Linked DNA regions of Callithrix jacchus. The protein of the gene in region 4 purifies or fractionates together with the protein of the main gene of each other region. This does not show direct contact. Links are inferred from orthologs where the notes say so. Each region holds a gene or a part of one and is shown on either strand. Other genes may lie near its edges. The genes, in order: DHX9, CSNK2A2, ALYREF, PRMT1, LSM14A, EP300 and CHTOP.

Region 1 (3,981 bases), on a different chromosome or scaffold from region 4:
ATTTTATTTGACTCGATAGACTTTATGACTTAAGACTCCTGCTTAATAGCTGGCAGTGAATTTTAAGAGGCTAGTGCTGATTATATTATTACTGTCCATATCTGTTTTCTCAAGTTTGGGGCCATTCTAAGTAGTTTTTTAAAGGAATGTTTTTTGCCATTTTAGGATTAAACTACAAATATCTCATGAAGCTGCTGCCTGCATTACTGGTCTCCGGGCAGCCATGGAGGCCCTGGTTGTTGAAGTAACCAAACAACCTGCTATCATCAGCCAGTTGGACCCCATAAATGAACGTATGCTGAACATGATCCGTCAAATCTCTAGACCCTCAGCTGCCGGTATCAACCTTATGATTGGCAGTACACGGTGAGTACCATATTAACTTATCTTTGAACTAAGTAGGAGAGAGATCTTATGTAGGCCTAGAATCTTAGAGTTAGTGATAGAAGTCTTATTACTTAAGTTAAAATTCTAGACAAACACCATATATAGGGAATTTAGTGCCGGCTAACATGCTCAGAATGGTTTTTACTTTTGTCAGTCCCTTGTTAGTAATTGGTCCATTGCATCAGTGAGTGCATGTTGGTAGTGCTAGAAAAGGATCTTACAAGTACGTATATAGTTCAGAATGGGTGACATGACAGGGAAGTGACAGAGCCCACATAGTCCTCTTTCCATGGTACAGTTTTGGCATCACTAAAGAAAAAATACTTATGAGATGTTAAATTGCTTTCATCAAATGTGTATGTGTTTCTGTTTAAACAACTAGAGCATGGATATTTAAGAAATTTATCTTAATTTTTAAAATTTTTATTTGCTTTAGGTTTTTTAAATGTTTCTTTTCCCACGAGTTTTTATTTACAAATACTTAATACCTACCAAAAACTCAGAAGAGTGATACAATGTATAGCCATATAGTCTTTATTTACATTCACTAATCTTCAGTGTTTTGTACATTTGGTTAATTGTTTGTGCTGAAGTAGCAGGCATTATCACGTTTTTCATCAGTACACTTCATATCTTTTGAAACAGCACCACAATACCATAGTCACACCCCAAAACGTTAAGTGTTTAGTAATGCTATAATATACTAATGTATTAAAATTCTTCAGGTTATCCAAAAATGATCTGTAATTCCTCATCAAAAATGATTTATTGGATTTGATCTATGAGCTAGGTAGATTGTTATCCTCATCCTCTTTAAGGAAACTGGGCACAGATGAGTTTAAGACCCAAAGTCATACAGCTAATAACTGATAAAACCAGATTCAAACCCAGATAACATGGCTTCTGAAACGGTGCTCTCATTATGCTATCCTGTGGCCCTTCTCGGTGGTTAAATGTATAATTCAGTAAGCGTCATAGGCAGGCAGATGCAAATGAAGTACTCATGGGTGTTTAGAAGAGCCAGGTGTGGTGGCTCATGCCTGTAATCCCAGCACTTTGGGAGGGTTAGGTGGGTGGATCATGAAGTCAGGAGTTTGAGACCAGTCTGACCAACATGCTGAAACCCCATCTCTAAAAACAGAAACAGCCCGGCCTGGTGGCGCGCACCTGTAATCCTAGCTACTCAGTAAAGAGGCTAAGGCAGGAGAATTGCTTGACTCCGGAAAGCGGAGGTTGCAGTGATCTGAGATGGACCTGCTGCACTCCAGCCTGGGCAACAGAGTGACTCTGTCTCAAAAAAGAGATACTATTTTTGGTAGGATAGCTGGTAAACAAAGGAGCCTTTGTATAAATAATATGTTTCTATGAAGAATAAAAGTCCAGAAACTAGGAAGAGGAAGAATGGGATATATGTAGAGAGTTTGGGATGTATAAATATGATGGTGGCCTGAATTACAGTGGTAGATAGAATTGCAGTGGGGAGATGTGACTGGATTCAACAGATTTATGGTAGAATCAGTAGGAATTGGTGATGGACTAAAATGGAATAGTGCGATGAAAAAAGGAAGACAGATATCAGCTGTATTTCTTTTTTGAGAGGCAGTCTTGCTCTGTGGCCCAGGCTGGAGTGCACTCACCTCTGCCTCCCAGGTTCAAACAATCCTTCTGCCTCAGCCCCCTGAGTAGTTGGGATTACAGGTGCACACTACCACACTTGGCTAATTGTTGTATTTTTAGTAGACAGGGTTTCACCATGTTGCCCAGGCTATTCTTGAACTCCTGGCCTCTGCTGATCCACCCACCTTGGCCTGCCACATTGCTGGGATTACAGACATGTACCACTGCACCTGGCCACACAGCCATATTTCTCACTTAACAGCTGAATTGGTAGTGTTGTTCTCAAAGAAAAGCTGCACAAGAGTAATAAGCAGATTGGGAATCTGTTTAATTGGAGTTGTTGATGGTCCATCTTGATTTCTGCTATTTTTCATTAGCCTTCATTTTCTTTATTTGTCACAGGAAATAGGTAATTACCAAGGACATTATTCAAAATCATACTTTAGAAATAATTCAGGAAAACATTTGGTGATAAAGACCAGTTTATTGGTAGCTGCAGGAACCCTCTCCTAATGCTTGCCTTCTTGGAACTTTATATTGTTTAGCTGAGTAAAAGAAGCCTATCCTAAACTTGAAATGACATACTGCCAAAATTCGAAACCTTTGAGATTGAACCAGAAAGAAATGTAGAAAAACAGATCGATAGAATTGATGATTATTTAGGAATAGTATATCAATTTTATTTCAATTTCTGTTTGCATTTGGCTTAATTCCTTTTATGTATTAAAATTTGAAATACGACATTTGGTGCATGGTTGAGAAATTACGCTTCGCTAAAGTGATGGTTTTGTGCTTTTTCTAGGTATGGAGATGGTCCACGTCCTCCCAAGATGGCCCGCTATGACAATGGAAGCGGATATAGAAGGGGAGGTTCTAGTTATGGTGGTGGAGGCTATGGCAGTGGCTATAGCAGTGGAGGCTATGGTACCGGAGGCTATGGTGGCAGTGCCAACTCCTTTCGGGCAGGATATGGTGCCGGTGTTGGTGGAGGCTTTAGAGGAGTTTCCCGCGGTGGCTATAGAGGCAACTCTGGAGGAGACTACAGAGGGCCTATTGGAGGCTTCAGAGGATCTGGGGGATTCCAGCGAGGAGGTATTAGGGGGGGCTATGGAACCGGCTATTTTGGACCGGGAAGAGGAGGTGGTGGCTATTAAGGCTTGGTTATGTCCGTTCCTGTGTGTAGACAGTAAGAAAAAAAAAAAAGCATGCTATGTGTTACGTGTTTTTTTCCAGTATGTTTATTTGCCACCAAAAAGTAAATGCATTTTTCCACCCATTCTGTGGTTCATTGTAGTTTAAGGAAACCAAACATAGATGCATTAGTGATTCTGTTTATATTATGTAAAATATTACGATCTATCTTAAAAATACCACAGTTTGTATTTTTTCTTTAAGGAGTAAAGATTTGCCTTTAAAAATAACTTGGTATTTTCCTGGCTTTCGTTTAATACAATAGAAAATAAAGTACTACACCGAATACTTGCTGTGGAGTTTGTTTGTTGACCTCACATATTAGAATAATTTTACAATGCCAGTTACATCTGTTCATTTTAAATGTCAGAGAAGTTGTACCCTGTTTCAAAAGTCTACTAAATGATACTACTTGTAATAGAATAAATAACCTTGGAATTGAATTGTTTACTGGAAAGTGCACAAGCCACATAAACCTATGCTCCTGAATAAAAGTTTTGACCTGAACATTTCTGGCTTCCTCCCAAGGCCAGCATTTTCTTTTCTAAGTCAGTTTCCACTATGACAAAGGTAATATAATCGATCCACAGAACTCTTGAATTAAAGGTAAATGAAGCTTCACTGATGTACACATTTTAGAGTTTGGGAGCAGGTGACACATTTATCTACCTTATGTTGCAAAAGGTGTTTGTTAAGCTACTTTGTTTTAATAGAGATGTTTATAAACACTAGTTTCCAGTGAATTTTCAGATTTCTCATTTGTGCAAGATACAGTGGAGGGCAAAG
Region 2 (3,500 bases), on a different chromosome or scaffold from region 4:
ATACTCAACTCTGTAATAAGAGAAGAGTTTCATTTGTATTTTAAGTTCCCACAGACCAAATGACAAAAATAGAATCTACATTTAGAGATAGGACCTGCTACCAATACCAATAAGATTTTATTGGAATATGGAATGTAAACAAATGTTTCAAACAAACAATCTAACCTTATAAAAATGTATGGCATTATTAAATAGTTAATAAAGAAATCTAAAGGGTGATGTGGTAGACACCTCTAGTTCTAGCCTAGGTATGTGAAGTCCCCAGAGCTGTGGCATGGCCCTGCAGCTGGGGTGAGGGGACTGCCTACAAACCATGTTGGTGCTGAGTCCCCAAAATGAAATCAGCCCTATTTTTGTTAAACGAACTCTAGTTTTCTCTGCTATCATGAAGGTTAGCACAATGGATCCAACACTTGCTCCAGGAGCACCACTTTCTTCCCCAAGCCCCTTGTATATTCTCAGTTGCTTATCAGATGATCCTGCCCACACAACTCTAGTACCTGCATGCAAGACAGACTTATCTTTGCCATCACATAAATGTATCATATCAGAACTTACAAATGCATATTACCCTGATTACAGTGGGAAACTGTATCTCATGAGATAAAAGGAAGTGGGAGAAAGTTTTTTTTCCGGTCTTTGTGAAAAAATGCTAATGGGGTATCTTCCTCCCTCACCTTGCCTGAAGACTGACTTTCCAGCTTTAGTTATGGTTGTGAACAAAAAGGTCTCTGTTTCAGAGAGGTGCATTAAAAAAGGCGCACACACAGGGATGTGCTGGGAAGTGGTGAAGTTCTCCTTACAAGGCTGCCAAAAAAAAGGAAAAAGCAACAAAAAAACACCAACAAGATTTTATGGTTAGGCAAATCAACAAAGGTTATAGTGAGCTCCAAGTTATGCACTTAGCATGGAACTTTTGATGATACTGATGGACCAGTTCATGGCATTGCAAGGTTTCATGATCCCTCCTGACATCAAAGAGGACTCTTGTGAAAGTGACTGCAGTTTGCTCCCAAATGAATCCACTTGGAGGAAAACTGCAGGGATGAGGTACATTTCCTGGAGAGCTCATGTCATAAAAAAATACATAAAACATGGATTTGTAAAGAGCTTAAAAAAAAATACTGTCACTGTTTTAATATCTCCTTTTCATAAATGAGGCTGGTGTGTCAGTATAGACTGCTGACATTTCGCTAAAACTTGTGCCTGAATTTCACCAAAGGAAACCCAGACCACAATGGAATAGATAGGAAGTCAGACATTCAGAGCTTGTTGACTGAATGGGTTAATTCAACAGCGGTGCCCTGTTAAACAAAGGTAAATGTACAACAACTCCGAGTCTCTATCTCCCATGCATTCCAAAGGCAAAGCTCCTTTAGATCCTGAACTAGGTGCATCCCCATGCTGCCACAGTGACAGCTCCCTGGAGACTAGCACTGGGGAGTTTCTTTCTTGCTTTTTGACAGACTTTTAGGTCTTTACTCTTCTTTGCATTTAGAAGGAATGATTAGAATTTCTTTTTATCACACTGTAGTTTTCCTTCAAGGTTTGTGTTTGGTTGGTTGGTTTTATTGGCAAGCATCAATGCTGCATTACCCGTCGCTTTCCAGTCTTCATCGTGCTGCCGTCAGACCACTGGAAAGCACAGCATTGTCTGCACAAGGCTGGGACTGCTCCTTCACCACAGGGTCTGCAAGAAAGCAGGAGGAAAGTCAGGCAATCAGGGTGCGGAATGCCAAGAGAAGCCCATGGCGAACCCACATTTTCGACTGAGAGACAGAATGATAGGCAAGCCAGGGTCAGAGGGCAACAGAGGAGCCAGAAATCATGGAATTCCGGCCATACAAAAACCAAACACTGAAAAATAACCAGCAACTGTTATTGCCGTCAACTCTTACACCGCCTCAAAGTATGAACTCGACTGCTAAGAGGCATAGAAACCCTAATTGCCCACTGTTCAACATTTCTACTCGTTTTATTTTCTTTCAATACTAACATCATCTCTAACTCCTAATTTCTTCAAAGCATGTAGAGTAATAAGTACTTTAAAGGAAAGGTAAAAGAGCCATTAGAAGACCAATCCATTTTAAGCAACAGTGCTTTGAAAATTTTCAAATTGAACTATGACATGTATTCAGAAAAGCAGAAAGATCATTAATTACATGCGATAAACATTAATAATCCTAATTTGATCTAACTCAAAGGGTAAAAACAGCTTTCTGAGCCAGATACTGAAAGGGGACATCTGAGTACTCTGGGGCTGAGGTCTAGAAGGCTGAAGGCTTTTAAATTTGCTATCTCCCTCATGCATATGGGTCACAGGTTCAAGACCACAGTGATACATTTTTCAGGCAAAAATTTAGTTAATCTCCAGAGGAAAAAAAAGGAGAGGGAAAGACAGCATATTGATCAAGCCAGAGACAACAACTTTAAGGGTTAAACATTTCCATCTTGATTCAGAAAGTGAACTGAGGTAAGTCTCTCAACCTCCCTGCTCCCCAGGAAGGAGACTGGTAATAGCACGAAGTTTATTTGAAACGCGTCATCAGCGGGGAGAACCATACACATGTGGAACAATAAGCAACCACGCAAACTGAATGTGTACACACTTCTAAGTGAGCAGTTCAGTCAGGATTTCAGTGAAGCCTCTCCATCTATTTTCCTTTCCTCAAATTCCTTTTATCCATCCATCTGTTCATCTCCTTCTTTCAAAATATACAATGGTTATCTGGTTATCTTACTACCTTTAACTAAGTACCAGTTTTCTGAGGGGAGAATTAATCTTCAATTAGGTTTCCACATAAATGTATATATATTTAAGAGCAAATTTTAGATACTTGTGATCTATGAATTCAGAGTGACAGGAAGTAGTCAAACAGCCTGAACTCAAGGGAGATCCAACCAATGAATAAGCAAACAGCTCTGGTTATCAAGAAACTGATCTGCAAAGTTGTCTCAATCATCTACAATTAATGAGACCAAATTCTAGGAATAATCTAATCCAAATACCCTAGAATTCTCCTAACTGATCTCAAAGAGAAAGAGTGGAAGATGTGTTCTCTTTAATGAATCACCCCTGAACACAGTCCCTGGAGACTCACAGAAGTAAGGGTGCTCCATGGCCTCTTTGGCAGTCAGTCTCTGTTGATGGTCGTATCGCAGAAGTTTGTCCAGAAGGTCTAGTGCCTCGGGGCTGACAAGATGTCTGTTCTCACTATGGATAAAGTTTTCCCAGCGTTTCCTTGAATGTCTGAGAAGAAAAATGAAGCATTAGTCATCTGAGACTAAACAAGAATCCTTATCTCCTAGGGCTAAAGCCAACAAAACCTTAGAATAATGCACTGATTATAAGCTTGTGAAATCTCTAACTGGTACTTGACCTACTGCCCCACAGTTACAGCATAGCATCCTGAAACACAATGGTGCTCCATGATTAGATAAACAGAATTAGGTAAAACTTCTATATCTGATTTAGAATCCATGGAACCTCTCTAATTTAG
Region 3 (4,283 bases), on a different chromosome or scaffold from region 4:
CTCAGTCTAGACTAGGTGGGCTGCTTGCTGAGGTGTTGGGGTGCTCGTAGGTGGAGAGGTGTGGGTGACCTGACGAAGAAGAACCGGTACCTTTGTCTTTACGACTACAGCCCCGCACTCAGAGGTGTACTATGGCGGTTCTGAGAAGGCTTCACAGAAGTGAATCTTCCGGAAGGAGCTGAAGGAGGGGAGGGATGTAGCTTGCTGGATGGGGGTTCACAAGAGGTTGGTCCAGATGTGTGGGGCAGCATGAGAGGTGGCAGATGGAAGAGAGAGACAAAGGGGCAAATGCAAAGTGTCCTCAGCCACAGGGGTACCCCATATTCCTACCTGGACAGGTGCCAGCCCCAAACTCCACAAGCCCGACAGTCAGCGTGGGTCCCCCCGCCCACACTCACCATCCAGAGGGACACCGTTATACTGCTTCATGGCTTTCAGGGCGTCTGCCTTCCGCTCAAAGTGTACATCTGCTGTTCCTAAGCTGCGGCCAGAGCGGTCATAGTGCACAGCTGCCTTTTTCAGTGTTCCAAATTCAGCAAAGAGTTCCTGGAGTTGCAAAGAGCAGTTGTCAGAAGAGCAACAAAACTGTGCTCCTTCTGGTGGCCCAGGGACAGGCCCTGGAAGCGTGAGCTGTTTTGGGGGTGGTTCCCTGGGAGGCAGGGCAGTGGTAATGGGAAATGAGGGAAGGGCAGGGCAGGAGGGACAGCAACTTCCAAGAGCGCCTGGGTCTGAGGGCTCCTGCCATTGAGGGGACCTGACAGGTGTACCACGATGCAGGTAGAGGAAGTCGCAAAGCCCACTAGAAAGGGGCACAAAATTAAGCCACTATCCTCTTCAACAAAGGAAAATTTACAACACACCCAAGGGCTGTTCCAAGAAACTGTAAAGGCCAAGATCAAGAGCAAGGGAACTGGTCCGGTATCAGACCAGCTTGAAGGGCCTGTTGACTTGGGAACCCTGACCCCAGCCCCTCCCCCAAAGGCAGATTCTGGCTCACCTTTCCCTCTCCTCCTACTCAAGCCTGCGGCAAAGTCTGAAGTCAAGCGCTGCCATGGAAACTGCCCTGACCTCAGGCAGGCTGGGAGTTGGAGAGGGAACCCAGAGTGTGGGGATACTCCGGCCGCAGGCACACAGCGGGAAGTGGAGTTCACCAAAAGCGGTTTCCAGTGGATGCTAGAAACCACCTTAAAAAAAGTGTTGAGACACTGTGAGTGCTCACTGGCCCTGCTCTGTCCTCCCAAGGCAAATGGCTAGGCTGTGGACAACTGAACCCTGCCCAGCCATCTCCAAAACTGATTCCCAAAAAGCCACTTCTTAACCAGAAAACAACTTTAAATGCCGTTGGGATTCAATTTTTCTTTCTTTCTTTTTTTTTTTTTTTTTTTTAAAAAAAAGCTTTAATGAGTTAGAGAATCAAGTCGCTGACAGGACATGGGGGCGGGGAGTGATAAAACCACAATTTACAAGGTCTTTTTAAGACAATACTCAAGTCAAACAGAGCTAGAAAAACACACAGGCTCCCTCTGCTTTACAAGGTACATAAGGAAGATTCTTTTTGTCACATTAACCCACTAAAACAGGCACTAAATTTAAAGCACAAGTGGGCTGAGTCTAACAGCCAAGAACCACTCACATTTGATCAGTCTTTTTCTCTGTTAGAAACTGGAAGCCCTGGCAGAGGATTTTCACTCACAGAACCCATATTCAGACTAAGAGCAGCAGATCCTCAGGCTAGGCTAGGCTCGCACCTGCCTGCGGACTGACCCTGGCTTTACTGGCGCTAGGTCTGTCCTGCAGCCCTTCAGAGCTGGGAGGGCTCCCTTTGCCAAGGCGGGAAGGGGACTCAGGGCCACATCCCCCAAAATATGATCCGTCCTGTGCAGGGCGAACGGGTCACCGAGAAGCCTTAGTCTCTTACCTGAATATCGGCATCTGACACTCCAAAATCCAGATTGGACACCAGCAGTTTCCCACCCGTCTCCACGCCGGCACCACCCCCGAAGCCACTGTCGAAAAGATCGTGCTGCCACTTGTCAGGAAGCTGTTTTGGCTGAAGGAAAAACCACAACAACAGCAGACCTGTGAGTCTCAGTCCAGGGCTTTCCCAGTCCTCGCGGCGACCCCGGACCCTTCCTCTTCCCGGCCTGAGAGGATCCGGCGGAGATGAGGCCGCCAGCGCTCCCTCCGGCCGCTAAAGCAGCCCCAGGTACGAGGCCGCACGGTCCCACCGCGGCAGCACAACTTCAGTTCCCTTCCACTAACTTCCCGCCGCTGTTGCCGCGCTCAGCTACCCCTCCGCTCACGCCGCCACGAGGTCCCGGCGGCCGGAACAAAGGGTTGAAAAGGGTCTCAGCCTCCGGGCCGGGCCCGGAATGAACGACCTCGCCCCCGCCCACCACCCCCTATGCGCCCTCCCACACGCACCCTCCGGACCTCCGGGCGGCCGCTCCACCAGCCCTATCAGCCAGCCGGGCTCGGCCTTCGCCGCCAGCCTCCCCGGCTTGCCCTCTCCGGTGCGGCCGGCCTCCACACTCACCCTGCTGTAGGGCGCCGGTCGGTTCCTCCCGCCTCCGCCGGCCGCGCCGCGGGCGATGGCCGGCCGGGTCCGGATAGGCCCGCCGCCTCGATTCACTCGCGCGGCGGCCTGCGCCCCGCCGCCGCGGCCGCCTTGGGAGCCGACCCGGCCGCGGCCCCGGCCCCCGCCGCGGCCTCCTCGCTGGCTCCGGTTCAGTTTAATGATGTCGTCCAGAGACATGTCCATTTTGTCGGCCATGGCGGGCGCGGAATCGGGCATCGGCTCGAGCCCGCGCGTCAGCACGCCAGCACGTCACCTCCGGCGCCGCGTGAGGCCTTCCGGTGCTACGGCCTCGGAGCGGCTAGTGATTGGCCGCCTGCGGACCGCAGCGCGCGCGGGACGGGGAGAGACGGGGAAGCGCGTGCGCACTGCCGCGCGGGACTCGGCGGGCGCTGCTGAGGGAGCCGGGCCGTGACTGTGGTCGTTTTTATACCTTCCCGCGCGGACGTCAGCGCTGCCAACGGAAGGGCGGGCAGAGCCGTGCGTGATTAGGTTGGCGAAGGTGCGAGGCCGCAGGGGGTTGGGCGGCGGTCGTTGGGAGTGGGGCATGCGCTCCCCTCCCTCCCCGCCTGCCCCGCCCTTCTGCTAGGGCTGGGGGCGCTGCGGGCGCGGCGGGTGTCCGGGAACCTGCGGGGGTCCTTGTTTCTGCGCCCGCCCGAGGGCTGTGCGCTTGGCTCGGGGCGGGATCCTGCGGGAGTGGCCTCAGCGGGCTGCAGCCGGTGCAGACCTGCTGCGGGTTGCTTTTTGGTTTTTGAGCCGGGGTTTTTGGTCTCCACCTGCAACCTCGAAGTCTCCAATCTCACATTTGCTAGTCATATCCTTTACAAGTTTTGGTACGGGCCCGGCGCGGGGCTCACGCCTGTGCTCCAAACTTTTTGGGAGGCCGAGGCAAGAGGATCGCTTCACCCTAGGAGTTTGAGACCAGCTGGGGCAACGTAGTGAGACCCCCATATCTAAAAAAAAAAAGTCGAAAGTCGGGTGTGCCATTGCACACTTGTAATCCCAGCTGCTTGGGAGGCCGAGGTGGAAGGATTGCTTGAGCTCAGTGAGGCCAGCCGGGCAACATAGTGAGACACTGTCTCTTAAAAAAAAAAAATTAGTCGGGCCGGGCGCGATGACTCATGTCTGTAATCCCAGCACTTTGGGAGGCCGGCTTGAACCCGGGAGGCGGAGATTGCAGTGAGCCAAGAGTGCGCCCTTGTACTCTAGCCTACACGACAGAGCAAGACTCCGTCTCAAAAACAAAAGAAAAGTAAAATAGAAACGGCTTACGATGTTCCTAGGCTGGGTTCGAATTCCTGGGCTGGAGTGATCTCCTGCCTTGGCCCCTTGAGTAGCTGAGACTACACTGTGCCAGGCTTATTCCTATTTTGGTGCCTAAATCTTCTAGTTCTGCAGACTAAATTAAGCCTGTCATCCTCTTCCCTTCGGGTACAGGCTCTGCTGCCATGAAGGTGAAGATTAAGTGCTGGAATGGCGTGGCCACTTGGCTCTGGGTGGCCAACGATGAGAACTGTGGCATCTGCAGGATGGCGTTTAATGGCTGCTGCCCCGACTGTGAGTGTCCCTTCCGCTGTCTGCCTGCTGGACTAGCCTCAGTGGCTCCTGTTAAATATACTTGCAGGAAATCCCCACATTTTCCTTTTTTTTTTTTGAGATGGAGTTTTGCTCTTGTTTCCCAGGCTGAAGTACAATGGTGCAATCTTGG
Region 4 (3,926 bases):
ATGACAACCCTACAGCCCCCCAGGAACCCCAAAACCTAACAGCCCCATTTTCCACTTCCACGACCCCCCCCAGAGCACCATCCAGGGGAGCACCCCAATACCTCAGCCACGCCTACCATATCTCCAGTCTCTCTGCCCCCGTCTCTAGCTCAGCCCACAGCTGGGGAGGGGAGGGGAAGGAAAACGGGGGCAGACACAGGGAAGGGCAAAGGGGGGCTGGAGGTGGAGTTAAGGAAGTAGCCTTGATACTGGGGGAGGCCAGCAGGGCCGTGAACCTGGAGGGGTTGCTACTAAGTGTCTGGGGGCCTGGGGTCAACTGGTTTGAAGCAAGAGGGGTATGATTAGACCTCGAGAAAGGGCCAGTGTGTGGCAAGATATACTGATGTGGAGGTCAGGGTGGGGAGGGGTCTCACAAAAGGATATTTACTTCTTCAAGAGGCGGCTGGAGGCTCATCCCATTAGCCAAGGTGGCTACAAAATTCTAGGAGAGAGTAACAGGGAAAAAGGATTAGCTACCAGGAGTGGCTGCAGGGGGCTGGGCGGCGGGACCTGGGCTCTGGCAGGAGGTGGGGTGGGTGGGTTTCCAGCAATTCTTCTTCTTTGTGGGGAGTGGTGGCAAAGGGGGCAAGTAATGAGGTGGGGTGCTTAAGAAGGGATGGGAAAAGTGAGGGGAGAGAAAAGAAAGGGGGTCTCCGACCCCAGCTGTGGCTGGAGAGATGGTGGCCCGCCCCCACGTTGCTCCTCTCTGGCCAGGCAGCTGACCACACACCTCCCCCATCCAGGCCAGGGAAATTGGCACTGGCCACCGCCAGCTGTCGCTCCCCCTCATCACATAATCTCCCCCAGATTAGGTGACACTTCCTGACACACACACCCCTATCCTAGGGTGCCATGAATAGCAGGAGGGAGGGGGGCTGGCAGGCTATGCCCACAGGGCATCTGCCACCTCTGCAAACCAGTCTCTTGTCTGAGAGGATTCCAGAAAAGAGGTTTGGCCCACAGGCACTCCCCCAGAGCTAGTACCCCAGTCCCCAGCTCCTGCCTTGGGCTCAGGAGCCCCCAAACAAAACCAGCGGGAACCAACCCCCTCCCTTACAACCCTCTGCCCTGGAAGATGGAGTCCCAGGGATGATGGGCAGCCCCTGGACTCTCTAAGAATGAGAGGACTCCAGAAAGTGGCTTGGGGAGTCAGCCCATCGCCTCCATTCAGACACCCATCCTAGGCCCTGAAGACCCCTAGGTGCGGCCAAGCCTGAGGCCACCCCTGGGGAAGATATTTCCTCCACCCTTAGAGCCCTGGTGCAGGAGACCGCCAAGGGGGTGGGAAGTCATAGCAGTGACCCCTGGGAACTGCATCCTGAGAGCTGACCTGCCCCTCCAGCCAGTGCCATAGGTAAGGGGTGGAAGAACAGAGGTCCCATCAGATTACATCTCTTCCAGATGTGACCACTTTCCAAGTCTCCAAGAAGGGCCACATCACAGGCCATGACCTACTAGGCTGCAAGCACCCTCCCCCCAGCTCTCCCAAGCCAGCGCGGATGCCTATAAGAAGTGCTGGGGGGTTTTCCCGCGGGGGCCCATTTCTCAATCACGCTGAAAACTACCTCAAGACAATTCCAGCCCAAGAGGGCTTGAAACGCAAGACGGAAACCTCCCCCACATGGCTGAAAGAGAACCCAACCTAACTCGAAACCCTTTCAGGCAGCCAGCCTCAGGACCCCGGGGTTCAGGACCCCCTGGGGGGGGGGTCATCTCCCGCCCTCACAAAGGCCCGGGGGAGATAAAGGGCTCCAGGAGAGGATAAAGCTCTCAGCCTACGTATTTCCCACCACCACTCATTCCCAGCGGATATACCCTCCTCCCTCCCCCGCCCGGAAGAAATCCGACGGTAGGTGGGCTTCGGGACACGCCCCATGAAAAAGATGTTCCTCCCACACACCCAGAAATGGCCACAAGGGGGTGCACGGCACCTATTAATGGGAAAATCTCCACCTAGATGCCCCACAACCACCCAGAGGGAGGTCACAGGGGCATGCCCCATCCCCCAACTCCTAAAGCTCTGGGCTAGGGGGAGAATTCTGAGATGGGAAACGGGGTCGGGGGGACCCCATTCTTTTGTCTTCCTCCAGTGCCTAACCCAGAACGCACAAAACCGGGGCCGCTGTCCCAACAGATGTCCCCGGAGCTCGGAAGGAGGTTGTAAAGGGCTGAGAAGCACTGCCCTTCCCCAGAGACTCCCTACATCTTGGTGGGCCCCAGATCAATCCCACCCCAAGGCGTGTGCCCGCGTCTCCGGGGAGGAGAGCTGGTGGCCTCAGACGGAGGGTCGGGCCCCCTCCCCGCCCCCCCGGGCGCCCCTCCCCGGCCGGGGGCGGGGCCTTTGTCCCGCACGTGGAGCCCGCCAGGCCACCGGACTCGGCACACCCCCTCCCCACCCACCGCGCCGAGGCCACGTGGGGGCCTGGCCGGAAGCGCCCCCAGCCCCCCTCCACGTGGGAGGGGGGATGAGACCCTCCGCTAGGCCGGATGCCGAAGGCCCTTGAAAGCTAGGGAACCGCAACTTAAAACGATATCCCCGGATGCGGAGCGTGCGGTGACCCCGTGTGCGGCGGGCGACCTCTAACCTCCTGTCGCCGACTTAGAGCCCTTTCCCCACCACAGAGCTGTGAAACACCGACCCAAAGCCGCCCCCCTCTCAAGGCGGCGCTTCAAGCGCTCACCTCCATGATGCAGTTCGCGGCCTCGGCTGCCGCCATCTTCACCCGCACCTAATCCTCCTCCGGCCGCCAAGACCCCCCCTTTCTCCTCACTCCCCCGGGACCGTCTTATACCAGAAGGTCTAGGGCCCGCCTACCGCGACCCCGCCGGAAGATTTCATTGGTAAAGGAGGCAGCCCGTCTGAGAATACCGTCTAGTTATTGGGTAGAGAAGACGTCGATCATAGGTCAGGGGTTTGCCAACTCTGGCGCCCAGAGTCCCGCCCCCTCAAGTCGACCTGGGATGGGGAAAACTGCCCGTCTATTGCAAAAAGCGCGACTGGTGATTGGGCAAAGTCTACATAAATGCCCGCCCCTTTACCCCAGCACCGCCTCAAAGCTTCCCGGCGAGCCCCGCGCTAAAGGGGCGTCTCGAAATGCCTGTCCATCACCAAAACGACCCGCCTCCTCATCGCTCCCATTGATTTATCCTAACATGACGTCACGCAGCCCTTGGCCCACCCTCGCCAAGCGGCCGGCTTCAAGGAGAACACGACGATTGGCCCAAGGGTAGTGAAGGAGGCGGGGTTTCAGGCACCACCGATTGGCTCAAAGGAACTCCCACTCCTCGAACACTCGGTGGATTTTCCCAGGCCGGGGAGGGTCTGGAGGAAAAAGGGGGCTTGTGCCCATTCTGGGGGGAAAAAAACTGAATCAGTGAGAGGAAGGGCCTGTCTGGGGTCCCTAAGCAAGTGAGGAATAGGTGTCCGCCTCAACACATTAAATCCTTATATCCTAGCCTTTGACATAATCATTCCAAGTTTGTTTTTTGTTTTTGTTTTTCTTTTCTTTTTTTTTTTTTGAGACAGAGTTTCGCTCTTGTTACCCAGGCTGGAGTGCAATGGCGCGATCTCGGCTCACTGCAACCTCCGCCTCCTGGGTTCAGGCAATTCTGCTTCAGCCTCCCGAGTAGCTGGGATTACAGGCACGCACCACCATGCCCAGCTAATTTTTTATATTTTTAGTAGAGACGGGGTTTCACCATGTTGACCAGGATGGTCTCGATCTCTTGACCTCGTGATCCACCCGCCTCGGCCTCCCAAAGTGCTGGGATTACAGGCTTGAGCCACCGCGCCCGGTCCTGTTTTTCGTTTTTTTGTGATGGAGTCTTGCTCTGTATCTCAGGCTGGAATGCAGTGGTGCGATCTCGGCTCACTGCTGTCTCCGCCT
Region 5 (4,263 bases), about 13 Mb from region 4:
TCATGACACAAAAAACAAATTTATATTTTATGTCGAATGAATTTAACTATTACAGACTAATGAAATATTTATCGACTCAAAGCTGCTTAAAAGTTTTTAAAATGTGGGTTAAAGTGTAGACTTTTGGGGTTCCTGCATAAAAGGATATGTTCATAGTTTTTAAAAAAGAACGAAAATACTTCAGAAATTTTCAAATGTATGTTTTTTTTCCTTGTGAGGCGTGAAGATAGCACAGCCAATTTATTGAGTCACTAAACTGGCAAGACACTTTAAATTCAGATTAGGCAAAGCAACACTTAAAAAAAATTTATTAAACAACTTTAATGAGAAATTATTTTCAACCCATATCTGGCTCTGATCCAGCACTTTTCATAACTTCATAGAGGCTTTTTCATAATTTCATAAAGCCAGAAAAATACTACACAGCTAAATATCTACTATTAAAAAATAAAAAATAAGGCCAATCAAAAACTAAGTTACTTAAGAAGTATCACTGGGAAAGTCTTTAATAACCACTAAACACCATCATACATCCTCAAGTATAGTGGATGTCTAAAAAGATGACAAAGCCCTAAGCCTACAGTTGTTTTATTTTTTTTTTTTTTAGTTATTTTTATTATTTTTTTGAGACGGAGTTTCGCTCTTGTTACCCAGGCTGGGGTGCAATGGTGCGATCTTGGCTCACCGCAACCTCCGCCTCCTGGGTTCAGGCAATTCTCCTGCCTCAGCCTTCTGAGTAGCTGGGATTAGCAGGCACGCGCCACCGTGCCCAGCTAATTTTTTGTATTTTTAGTAGAGATGGGGTTTCACCATGTCGACCAGGATGGTCTCAATCTCTTGACCTCGTGATTCACCCGCCTCGGCCTCCCAAAGTGCTGGGATTACAGGCTTGAGCCACCGCGCCCGGCCTCCTACAGTTGTTTTAATGAGGTAATGTGTCACAACACAATGTTTCACAAGGTGAACAGGGAAATTTAGGGGTACTCCCTGGTTTTTCACACTTTTAAAATTAGACTTGGTGATTTCAAAGTGTATAATTCAATGATTTTCAGCAAATCTGCAGAGTTGTGCAACTGTAGCCATCTCGTACTACTCCCTTACTGTGTACAGTTCTATAACATCAAGGTTCCCTACCCAGGTGTAAAATTTGTTCCAGTACTAGGGCTGTTAAAAAGATTTACCAGAGGCCAGGCGTGGTAGCTCTCGCCTATAATCCCAGCAATTTGGGAGGCTCAGGAGGGTTGATCAACTGAGGTCGGGAGTTAAGACCAGACTGGCCAACCTGGTGAAACCCCGTCTCTACTCAAAACACAAAATTAGCAGGGCGCTGTGGCGGATGCCAGTGATCCCAGCTACTTTGGGAGGCTGAGGCAGGAGAATCGCTTGAACCCGGGAGGCAGAGATTGCAGTAAGCCGGGATCATGCCATTGCAGCACTCCAGCCTGGGCAAAGAGAGCGAAACTCCATCTCAGGGGAAGGAGAGAGAGGAAAAAAAAAAAGGGATTTACCAAAGCATCCAAAGAAATGTCCTGAAATACTTGATTCCGTGAAACCACTCCCCTATCAGTTAAAGATTTAAAAAATTTTACAGATTATGAAAATCTTCCTTATCCTTGTACCTATGACCTATCTAGAGGATCCCTAAGCATGCTTATGCAGTTCCCACCTCTACCAGAAGCGCTGGGAAAATCACCTAGGTTATCTAGCTTCCCCCAAAATATTTTACACTATTGTGAGATTTCCTTAAGATTCAGGAGCTAACGTTTATTTTCTTTCTGCTTTCCTGGAGGAGCAAAGGCCCTGCACGTGTGAACGGAAACAAAACCCACACAGACTCTAGGGATGCCAAATATTAATACTATGGGTAGGGGCACCTTCCTTCTCGACAGAATTCCCTTTCCCAACGAGCCTTCAGTCAATGCCCACTGAGCCTGGATCAAAGGTCAAGATCGCCTGGATCAAGAAGGGTCCCGGACAAGCTTGAACTCGTTTCCAGAAGCAGGGGCGTCCGGGAAGCAGCAAACATTTTTACCGCACGCTCTAATGAAGATGGTTGCACAACAGGCTTTGAGAATTCCGGTTTAACAGGTAAATACCAACAGAGGATGAGCCGAGGGAGATGGGATCTGCTCCACTGCACCGATGGCATTTCGAAAATGTCTGCGTCGCAGAGCAAACCCAAAGTTTTAGCACATTACTCAGAGTTCTCCTGAGGAAGATCGCCACGAACAGAAATGAATAAAGTGAGAAAATGGGTGCTGTGGAGTCAACGCATCCACGATGAACTCAAGCTGGGCGAAAAAATTCTTTGAATACTCGGGCTTTGTTTTGTGCTAAGACAACAGAACTCCCGAATCTCGGAGTTGGAAGACCCGTTTCTCCGTGTTCTCCCGCCCGTTGTCGGACTTCAGGGCCGCCCGCACGCCCGCCCGCCGCGTACTCAGTCCCGTAGTTCCCCGTGCTTCAGGCGCGGACCTTCCTGGGGGGCGGAAGCCAGGGAGACGCGGGGAGGCCGCGGTCCGGCCCGCGACGCCAGGGCCCGGAGAATGGAGGGGAGCGGCCTCCCGGAGCTCCACGGAGGGAGGGGAAGGAGCGAGCCAGGAGGCTGAGGGCCGGAGCGGGGAGCAGCCTTGAGTGGCGCCCGGTCCGACCCCCACCCCGAGGCCCGGTCCCACGTACCTTTGGCGAGGGCTACGGTGGAGTTTTCGGTGTCGATGGTGTAGAGGATGCCCTCGTAGCGGATCTCTGCCTTGGAGATGAGGCTTATCTTGCTGCCGATGTAAGGGGTGCCCCCGCTCATGGCGCCGCCGCCGCCGCCGCCCCGGGCCGCTCGCAGAGAGGCAGATCCCACGCCGCTGTCGCCCGCTCCGCACGCCCGCTCGCTAGGTCGGCGCCTACAGCAGCCGCTTCAGACCCAACATGGCGACGGTGCCGGCTCCGCTACCCTCCCCCAGCCTCCCGCCCTCAAGTCGCGGCGCGGCGGCGGCCGCGGCGGCAGCGGCGGCGGCGCGGAGCATGCTGGGAGGGCGAGGCCGCGCCCTCGCGAGACTTGGCAGGTGGCGGGTGGTTCCCGACTGCTTGGCGGCTTCGGGAGTCCTGTCAGCGCCTATTTACCTGGGCTACGACGGCAGTCCTGGGGCAGCGTGAGAGGAATTTCGGGGACTTGCTGAGTGCCTCGTGGCACCCGCTCGCTGAGGGCTGGAGAGGAGGCGCGCGGCCCTCCTGACCCAGGCCGCGGCCTCTTTGTCGTGGGTCCCGTGTCTTTGCCGACGCGAGGCCCCCCGTCTGGAGCGCTGCCCACCCACCTGCCTCCGAGCTTTGGCGAGTCGCTGCTCATCCTTTTAAGACGCTGAACCTGTACCTCGTGGAGCTTCCACGGCTCCATTACCGCAGCCATCGCCCAGGAAGTTTCCCCTGAGGTTGCTCCTGGAGCTGGGGCTCTCAAAAGGACCCAGTTTTTCAGCTCGCCCTGTCCCGCTCGTTCATCTGGTCTGAACCAGCCTAATGGCTTGCATCGCCATTGCAACTCACCAATCCCAAGTATCAGTCTGTAACTTGGATCAATTCCGTGAACTCCGATTTCTGTGGAATTGGTATCTCAAACGTTAAGGGTCCAAAGCCATGCTCCCTGTTTCTCCTCTAACCTGCTCCTTCACCACCGTTCCCCATTGATGTAACAGGTACCATTTTTACTCAGCTGCTCAGACTAAAAGCCTTGAGTCAGCCTTGACCTCTGTCTTGCCTCCACATCTGTTCTGAGTACACCTCTGTTATGTCTACAGAATATTTCCTAAATCTGACCCCTTCTCCTCATCTCCATCCCTACAGCTGCACGACAAGCCGCGATTACTCTGGCTAAGTTATTGCAGCAGCCTTCTAAAAGTTGCTTTTGTGTCAACCCTTGCCCTCTAGTTTATTCTCAACACAGCAGCCAGAGAGAACTTGTTAAAATCGAACTCAGATCATGTCCTTTCTCTACTCACTCTACTGATCCCATGTTACACAGAGAGGAAACCAGACTGCTTCAAAGGACATGCATGATTTTGCTTCTCGTTCTGTTCCAGTCACGTCTAATTCAACTAGTATTTGAACACTTTATTCCAATCTCTGCTCAAATATCACCTCCAGAGATGACGTCCCTGACAACCTTGTTTAAAATAATACCACCCACATCACTCTACATCCCCTTAACTCAGTTTGCATTTTCTTCATAGCATGTATCTCTCTCAAGTATGTTTACTTATTTGTATGTGTCTGTCTCTT
Region 6 (3,958 bases), on a different chromosome or scaffold from region 4:
AAGAAAAAAAACAGCTAAAAAATATCCTTGGAGACTACAGTACCTTCATAGAATAGGTACAGATCAAAGTACATGCATAATCAGTGTTACAAGCCTTAAATAGAGGAACTCTGCAAGATTCCTATTTCCCAATTGTTGCAGGTTAACTGAAATTCATTTTACATCTTTCTTATAAAAGCAACGAATTCAAAGCATTTGTTCCGTCTTTCCATATTCACTCTGAAATGAAGCCTACTTAGAAACATGTTCTCCAAGTTCTCTACAAACTCAAAGGGTACATTTAACTCCATTATGCACTCTCACTGGCAGATGGAAGGATGACGTTGAGCCTGTTCTCAGGGAGTTAAAGAGATGCTCCGTAGTAAAGGGGAACATCTTGTGGGCTGTCAGATGGCCAGCCATTCTTCATCTTCATTATTCCAGCAAAGAAAAGGTCCTCGCCCATCAGGATAACACCATTAAACTAACTGTAAGAAGAGAATGAAGGGGATGATGGAAGAAGTCTCCCTGAACTTCTCTGACAAAGGGGCTGGTCCACAACTGAATGAACTGAAGAATCCGGAAAGCTTTTAAATAAAAATCTTGATCTCCAAATGTGTTTAAAAGTGTAAAAAGACAAACACAAAAACACCAAAGCTAATGCACATTTTAAACTTTTGTATAATCAGTTCATGTTCGTAGTTCCTGACTGGAACTCTTTCAACTTCTAACGTTGATTTTCAGGTACATAACTCCACAAAATTGTTTATCTTTTTTCTTCCTCCTAAAATGATAAAGTGAATGCAAACTACAAAGAACATGACCCTGTTCTCACAACCTGAAAATCCAGAGTTTCAGACATTTTGGTCTCACACCAAAACTGGAAGATGTGAGATGAACTGCACTCCATATTGATTCTTACAGCAAATAAGAAAAAGCAGGGGGAAAAAGCTAAGAAGGGTAGGTAAGACAAAACAATTGTTAAACTTCGCTTCTAATCTGAAATCTTGGACCTCGCACACACAAAAATCAAGTTTTTACATCCTATTTAACAGAAAATATTCTGCAAAGGAGAGAAAATTTTGAAAAGGGTGGAAAGTAGAGAAAATAGAGTAAGTACAATGAGGAGAAAGGATTCGAAATTCTTCATTTACCAAGAACAAAAAAAATTAAAACTTAAATTGCATAGAAGCTCTTACTCATAAATGCACTGGCATTTCCCAAATTAAACTGCACGGGAGCAACAATACAGGCCATTTCTATACAGCACCCACTTACGAGCTCTAATTCCAGAACACACACCGATATGACACAGTGTTGCAACCAATGTATTAGGAGGCAAAGAAAATGGTTGGGCTACTGGACGTCTTCGATCAGCTCATTCAAATACCTTTAAAATTAATTAAGGGACAGGGAGAGAGGAAAAAAAAAAAATGGAATAAAGGAGCACCGAGTAGAAAAGATTAAGAGGAACGTGGAAGGCCGGGGCTGCCGAAACTAACCTGTGCCATCGCTGGCCGACGCCGAGAGGGCCGGAGATGAGAGTTTAGGCCGCTTGGCTGAAGGCGGCCCCGGTTCCACCACATTCTCGGCCATTTTTAATTCTTTCGGAGATACAGGCGAGGAAAACCAGAATCCTCAGGAAATCTCTTCGGCCCGGGGTCCCCGCCCCGCACCCAGGGGTGGGCTGGGGGGCTCCGACGGCACCCGAGGGGGTGGGGGAAGTTCCTTTTTCTCTTCGCCGGGTCGCAGTGGCTGGAGAGGGATGCGGACTCGATAGAAAAGGTAGGGGCAAGTGCTAGGGGCCGGGCCTGGGCCCAAGCCCGGAGGAGGGCACAGGAGCACAAATTCACCGAGCGCGTCTGCTGCGGCGAATTCCCGAGAACTCGCGGCTCTAGAGGCGCAGTCCCCGGCCCGCCACGGCCGGCCCCTGCCCAGCCGAGGTCTCTCGGAGCTCCGCCGCCGCCATCAGCCTCTTCCTCCTCGGCGCTGTCCTCCTCCTTCTCATCGCCACAAGGAGGCGGGGGCGAAAAGGGGGGAGAGGAGGAGGCGACGAGAGACACTCACCTCCTCCCGGTGCCCCCTCCCGGGCCTGCGCCCCCACCCTCCGAACCCTCCTCCTGCCGCTGCCGCCGCCGCACCGGCCCCTAATGGCCGCAGAGAGCTCAACCGAGCCGAGAGCCAGGCTGGCGCCGCCGCCTCACATCGCACGGCGGCCGGCGGAGGCGCGGCAAGAACGCCAGGCGCGGAGCTGGCCGGCCCAGAGGACCGAGGGGGCCGGGCCGAGCAGCGCCGCCCGCCCGCGCCGACGCCAAACCCACCGAGGAGGCCCCGCTCCGGCGGCGGCGCAGGCGGCCCCTCCTCGCGCCGCGCTTCTCTCCTTCGCCCTCCTCTCGCGCGGAAAATAAATAAATACGGCCGCCGCTACGGTCCCCTCCGCCGGCGGCCAGGTGCTGGGAGAGCCCGCCCCCCCGGGGCTCCGCTCGGGGCCGACCGCGACGGCGGGCGAAGGCGCCGCGGGGCGCGGGGTTATGTAATGGTCCCCCCTAGGCGTCGACGCCGGCCCCGCTCCCGGGCCGCGGTGGGGGTGTGTGCGGACGGGAGGGGGCTAGGGGTCGCCTCAACCCGTGCGCCCCAGGCCCCCTGCCACTGTCTCGGCCCCAGCCGCCTCTCTCCGTCCCGGATCCCCTCCGCACTCTCTGGCTCCCGCAGTTCGCACTCAGCTCGGCGTCCCGCTTGCCCACTCTCGCCCGCTCCCTCTCGCCTCTCTCCCCCCCAACCTAGCACACAAACAAGATGGCGGCTGTTGTTTCTTCCCTCTGCCGAATCCTCCTTACAGGCTAGCGGTAGCGGCGGCGGCCGGAAATGAGCCAAAGGAGGGGGGTGAAAAAGGGGAGGGGCCGGGCCTCCGAAGGGAGGCGGGGCCTAGGCCCGAGCCGCTCACACAATGGGGGAAGTGGCGCCGGGGGCGGGGCCGGTTCCAATCACGGGATCCGCCCTAGTCCCCAACGCGGTTAGCGCTTCCGCAAACTCCCCCGGCGACACCCTGTGGCTCCCTTTAAAGGGGAGGATTTTTAAGAGGGGAGAGGATTTTAAGGGGGGAGGGGTGGGGGCGGACTCAATCTATTTTCTGTCGGTCGATAGTTACGAGGGAAGGTTCCTGGCTTTGGTCTCTTGTAGGGGACCGGTGGGAACCTGGGCGACTGAGCCCGGGAGCTGCGCCGAGGAAGACGCCAAGTCGCCACTTAGATGGCCAAAGGGGAGCGCCCGTGGGGCGGCCCTGCTTCCTGGCCTTTGAGTGGCGGGTCCCCCAAACCCCGGTCGAATCCATAAGCCAGGGTGTACCCACTGCCGAATACCCAGTGCATCCTCACTTCTCCATTGGCTTCCCAAAGGGAGTAGTTCACATCCAAAAAGCACGTTGATTACGAGTTGTTTTCAATTTCCTCTGAATTTTCCTTTTTTTTTTTTTTTCCACAACGAGCATATATTACTTTGACCAGAAAACAAAAATCACAGCAGTGGGAAGGAAGATGTTTCGGCACCAGACCCAACATTTCTTGCCCTCCACGTGTGTCCGTCCATACGCCCCTACCAGGTAGCACTCTCACCACAGAAGTCTTTCTTTTCTGAACACGCCTGGGACCTGAAGACATTTTTAGGTTTCTTTTTTCTTTTTTTTTTCCGTCTGCTCCCAATAGATCAAATTAATAAAAGACCACGTCAAGCCAGTGCCTTATCTAATGTAATTATGGGAAAAAGCAAAAATGTGGTAAAGGTAAGGATGGAAAAAAGCAAAAATGTAACGGGGGGAAAGTCCAGTGTGTGGGACCCAGCAGTTTTGCAGCTGAGGTCGGAGACATGCTTTCGGGTTTCTACACATTACCCTGTGTTTTGACCTTGTGTAAATTGTTACTGGAGAAGGTGGTATGGGTGTAAGTGACCCCCAAAGAAACTCACAAACTATTATCTATTGATA
Region 7 (3,500 bases), on a different chromosome or scaffold from region 4:
TGGAAGGATATGTCCAAGCTGTGGCTGGGCGTCTGGAGGGCGGTGCCATGCGACTGTAAGGGCTTTGGTAGCAATTGCATGGCTGTGCATAAGTTCAGCAGTTAAATATAACATCCTTACACCCCCACCCTGAACCATTGGGCTCACTGACCAAAAATAAACAAGGCTTTCTGCTTCAGCTACCTTAAGCCTTGGAATGATTGGATTCCTCCCTGACTCAGGAAAGCAGCCAAAAGCACCGCCATTTTCCAAGAGTAATTGGAAATTGCTGAAGATGAGTCTTTGACAGATCATTCCAAGGACCTTTCAACAAGAAGCTTTAAGTATAGGCTCTGCAGGAGGTAACCTCTATCCAGAGTAATACTGTTCAATAGAAATTTTTTTTTTTTTTTTTTTTTGAGATGGAGTCTTACTCTGCTACCCAGGCTGTAATGCACTGGTGCAATCTTAGCTCACCGAAGCCTCCACCTCCCAGGTTCAGGCAATTCTCCTGCCTCGGCCTCCCAAGTAGCTGGGATTACAGGCACCTATCACCATGCCCAGCTAATTTTTGTATTTTTAGTAGAGACAGGGTTTGCCATGTTGGCTAGGCTGGTCTTGAACTCCTGACCTCAAGTTATCTGCCTGCCTCGGCCTCCCAAAGTGCTGGGATTAAAGGTGCGAGTCACCGTGCCCGGCCAGAACTTTCTGCAACAATGGAAATATTCTGGATCTGCTATCCAGTACACTAACCTCTAGCCACATGTGGCTGTTGAAAACTTTAAATATGACTAGTGCAATTAATGAGCTTAATCTTTTTTTTTTTTTAATTTAATTTTAGGCCAGGCCTGTAATCCCAGCACTTTGGGAGGTGGAGGCAGGTGGATTACTTGAGGTTGGGTGTTTGAGACCAGCCTGGCCAACACAGTAAAACTACTAAAAATACAAAAAAAAAATTAGTTGGCATGGTTGCGCACACCTATAATCCCAGCTACTCAGAAGGCTAAAGCAGGAGAATCTCTTGAACCTAAGAAGTGGAGGTTGCGGCGAGCAGAGATCATGCCACTGCACTTCAGCTTGGGCAACAGAGTAAGACTCCATCTCAAAAATAAAGAAAATTTACATCTAATTTGGGCTGGGTGTGGTAGCTCATACCTGTAATCCCAGACTTTGGGAGGCCAAGGCAGGTGGATCACCTGAGGTCAGGAATTCAAGACCACCTGGGCAACATGGTGGAACCCTGTCTCTACCAGAAATAAGCTGGGCGTGGTGGTAGCACCTATAATCCCAGCTACTCGGGAGACTGAGGCAGGAGAGTTGCTTAAACCTGGGAGTCATAGAGTTTAGTGAGCCAATACTGAGTCACTGCACTCCATCCTGGGTGACACAGTGAGACTGTCTAATTTAAATAGTCACATGTAGCTAGAGGCTGCCTTATACAGCACAACTCTAAAGTGAAAACAATTATATAGTTAACTTTTTTTTTTTAAGAGACAGGGTTTCTCCATTTTGGTCAGGCTGGTCTCGAACTCCCGTACCTCAGCTCATTCTCCCACCGTGCTAGGATTACACGTGTGAGCCACTGCATCCGACCTGTAGTTGACATCCTTAAGTTTCCTGTGAATATTAAAGGCCAGTATTGGTGGCAGTGAAGGGTTGGAATGGACTAAGAACTTTCCAGCAGTGGACGGATCTCCTTTTACCGCACAAAGCTTGGGAGAATAAATATATGCAGGGTAACTGAAGAAAAGGGGCTTGTGGAATGCAGTCCTAGCCTCATAATTGTGTGTTAATCAGGGGAGTAACAGGACAGGTGTTTATGGATGGTTACACCTACTTATGCTAGATGCATCATGTTTGGTACGTTCCCTACTGATGAGAAGCAATTTATGATCTTGTGCTAGGAAGTTAATAATAATGCTTCACAACATCTTTTTGAGAGGTATGATTAGAAAACACTCACATAGGCCAGGCATGGTGGCTCACACCTGTAATCCCAGCACTTTGGAGGCCAAGGCAGGCACATCACCCGAGGTTGGGAGTCTGAGACCAGCCTCACCAACATGAAGAAACCCCATCTCTACTAAAAATACAAAATTACCCAGGTGTGGTGGCGCACGCCTGTAATCCCAGCTACTCGGGAGGCTGAGGCAGGAGAATCACTTGAACCTGGGAGGTCTTGGTGAGCCAAGATCACACCATTGCATTCCAGCCTGGGTGACAACAGTGAAACTCCATCTCAAAGAAAAAAAGAAAACACACACATACACCTTGGTAGTCACTTATGGCTCGAGACTGAAGGGACCGTAGAATTTATTTTCTTTTATATTGACTGATGGCTTTATGGATAATCAGGTTTGCTAGGACCTTGGTTTTGTTCAGGGCTATTGCTGTTCCTTTTTCCTTTGAAGGAATTTAATTCTCTGAGATGTAGTCTTAATGATTTTCTTTTGAGAAAAAATTCTTTAAAATACTCTGTCTCTGGAGTGTGTCCCTGTCCTCATACATGGCCCTGAGTTTTGTGATTACAGCTCATCTGAATAATTCTGACAAGTTTGGCTGGCACTCTGTGGAGATACATTTGATTTACATGTTTATTTTGAATTTAAGGTCATCATACTATTTTAAAGGAGCTGTTTGCAAGGGCAGGCTTGGAATTAAGGATTTCTAAGAAACGAAAGGAGATTTGACTTTCTTGTGTTTATTTACATCTTAAGGTAAAAAGTGGACCGTCTGGAGATAGATTCTCAGAGGAAAAACGGAGCACACGGGCCTCTTTGAGAAATCAATCTTGTTCTTAAGTCACAAGAACTCAAGTAAACTTGTCGTTTAAGTTTTGCCCAGAGTGTGATGAACTCTTCCTTTGGTGTTTGAGTAAGCCTTTGAAGACAGTGCTAGTTGGTGGGCAGGTATGAATCAAGTCGTATCATTGTCAGCCTGTAGTTCAAAAGCAGTACAATCCAGATTGAACTATAGAAATGTTCTTACTAAAACTTTGAACTGGCAGTGTATGACTTCTGTAGCCAGACTAGTGAGGTAATTTGTGGAGATGTCCATTTCATGAGACCACACTTGAGCTTTTTGAAGTTTCAGCTCTGGATCAAAATTCTGCTTCTTGTCTAACATGTTCCGAGGCAAAGGCTTGCTTCTGGTTTGGGGTCCTTATGACACCACAGCAGGTTTATCTCCCTTCACACCAGCATCTCACTTGCTGCTTTCTCTCTGCACTTTGAGTTGCTAGATCCTGTTGGATTGCTTTTTTGATCTCAATCCCCTAACACCTTTTCTTCCAGAAGAGCTTAAAGCAGCGCCTGGGTAAGAGTAACATCCAGGCACGGTTAGGCCGACCCATAGGGGCCCTGGCCAGGGGAGCAATCGGAGGACGAGGCCTACCCATAATCCAGAGAGGCTTGCCCAGAGGAGGACTACGTGGGGGACGTGCCACCAGAACCCTGCTTAGGGGCGGGATGTCGCTCCGAGGTCAGTGCTGTGTACCCTGATAATTGTCAGGCCCTACTCCC

The links.
Region 1: the proteins of PRMT1 (region 4) and DHX9 purify together in Homo sapiens (affinity purification with mass spectrometry; 3 studies listed by BioGRID and IntAct, with this or other methods). This does not show direct contact. The link is inferred for Callithrix jacchus from reciprocal best matches to the Homo sapiens genes PRMT1 and DHX9.
Region 2: the proteins of PRMT1 (region 4) and CSNK2A2 purify together in Homo sapiens (affinity purification with mass spectrometry; 3 studies listed by BioGRID and IntAct, with this or other methods). This does not show direct contact. The link is inferred for Callithrix jacchus from reciprocal best matches to the Homo sapiens genes PRMT1 and CSNK2A2.
Region 3: the proteins of PRMT1 (region 4) and ALYREF purify together in Homo sapiens (affinity purification with mass spectrometry; 3 studies listed by BioGRID and IntAct, with this or other methods). This does not show direct contact. The link is inferred for Callithrix jacchus from reciprocal best matches to the Homo sapiens genes PRMT1 and ALYREF.
Region 5: the proteins of PRMT1 (region 4) and LSM14A purify together in Homo sapiens (affinity purification with mass spectrometry; 3 studies listed by BioGRID and IntAct, with this or other methods). This does not show direct contact. The link is inferred for Callithrix jacchus from reciprocal best matches to the Homo sapiens genes PRMT1 and LSM14A.
Region 6: the proteins of PRMT1 (region 4) and EP300 purify together in Homo sapiens (affinity purification with western blotting; 4 studies listed by BioGRID, with this or other methods). This does not show direct contact. The link is inferred for Callithrix jacchus from reciprocal best matches to the Homo sapiens genes PRMT1 and EP300.
Region 7: the proteins of PRMT1 (region 4) and CHTOP purify together in Homo sapiens (affinity purification with western blotting; 7 studies listed by BioGRID and IntAct, with this or other methods). This does not show direct contact. The link is inferred for Callithrix jacchus from reciprocal best matches to the Homo sapiens genes PRMT1 and CHTOP.

Annotation. Positions count from the first base shown.
Region 1 is NC_133519.1:41,075,479-41,079,459, forward strand, and holds the end of DHX9 (ATP-dependent RNA helicase A), read left to right. Parts: intron 1-165; coding exon 166-366; intron 367-2,806; coding exon 2,807-3,158; 3' UTR 3,159-3,481; downstream 3,482-3,981. UniProt on the Homo sapiens protein: Multifunctional ATP-dependent nucleic acid helicase that unwinds DNA and RNA in a 3' to 5' direction and that plays important roles in many processes, such as DNA replication, transcriptional activation, post-transcriptional RNA regulation, mRNA translation and RNA-mediated gene silencing.
Region 2 is NC_133521.1:16,047,686-16,051,185, forward strand, and holds part of CSNK2A2 (casein kinase II subunit alpha'), read right to left. Parts: intron 3,251-3,500; coding exon 3,102-3,250; intron 1,691-3,101; coding exon 1,614-1,690; 3' UTR 1,597-1,613; intron 1-1,596.
Region 3 is NC_133506.1:137,488,185-137,492,467, forward strand, and holds the start of ALYREF (THO complex subunit 4), read right to left. Parts: upstream 2,801-4,283; 5' UTR 2,795-2,800; coding exon 2,537-2,794; intron 2,051-2,536; coding exon 1,919-2,050; intron 547-1,918; coding exon 399-546; intron 1-398. Other genes in the region: anaphase-promoting complex subunit 11, read left to right, coding at 4,024-4,132. UniProt on the Homo sapiens protein: Functions as an mRNA export adapter; component of the transcription/export (TREX) complex which is thought to couple mRNA transcription, processing and nuclear export, and specifically associates with spliced mRNA and not with unspliced pre-mRNA.
Region 4 is NC_133523.1:43,444,349-43,448,274, reverse strand, and holds the start of PRMT1 (protein arginine N-methyltransferase 1), read right to left. Parts: upstream 2,801-3,926; 5' UTR 2,757-2,800; coding exon 2,721-2,756; intron 2,622-2,720; exon of another isoform or gene 2,440-2,621; intron 482-2,439; coding exon 428-481; intron 217-427; exon of another isoform or gene 120-216; coding exon of another isoform or gene 102-119; intron 1-101. UniProt on the Homo sapiens protein: Arginine methyltransferase that methylates (mono and asymmetric dimethylation) the guanidino nitrogens of arginyl residues present in proteins such as ESR1, histone H2, H3 and H4, FMR1, ILF3, HNRNPA1, HNRNPD, NFATC2IP, SUPT5H, TAF15, EWS, HABP4, SERBP1, RBM15, FOXO1, CHTOP, MAP3K5/ASK1, MICU1 and NPRL2.
Region 5 is NC_133523.1:30,894,967-30,899,229, reverse strand, and holds the start of LSM14A (protein LSM14 homolog A), read right to left. Parts: upstream 2,801-4,263; coding exon 2,680-2,800; exon of another isoform or gene 2,397-2,679; intron 1-2,396. Other genes in the region: uncharacterized protein LOC144580722, read left to right, coding at 2,799-3,170. UniProt on the Homo sapiens protein: Essential for formation of P-bodies, cytoplasmic structures that provide storage sites for translationally inactive mRNAs and protect them from degradation. Acts as a repressor of mRNA translation. May play a role in mitotic spindle assembly.
Region 6 is NC_133502.1:191,898,496-191,902,453, reverse strand, and holds the start of EP300 (histone acetyltransferase p300), read right to left. Parts: upstream 2,801-3,958; 5' UTR 1,576-2,800; coding exon 1,482-1,575; intron 1-1,481. UniProt on the Homo sapiens protein: Functions as a histone acetyltransferase and regulates transcription via chromatin remodeling. Acetylates all four core histones in nucleosomes. Histone acetylation gives an epigenetic tag for transcriptional activation.
Region 7 is NC_133519.1:14,060,070-14,063,569, forward strand, and holds part of CHTOP (chromatin target of PRMT1 protein), read left to right. Parts: intron 1-3,272; coding exon 3,273-3,459; intron 3,460-3,500. UniProt on the Homo sapiens protein: Plays an important role in the ligand-dependent activation of estrogen receptor target genes. May play a role in the silencing of fetal globin genes.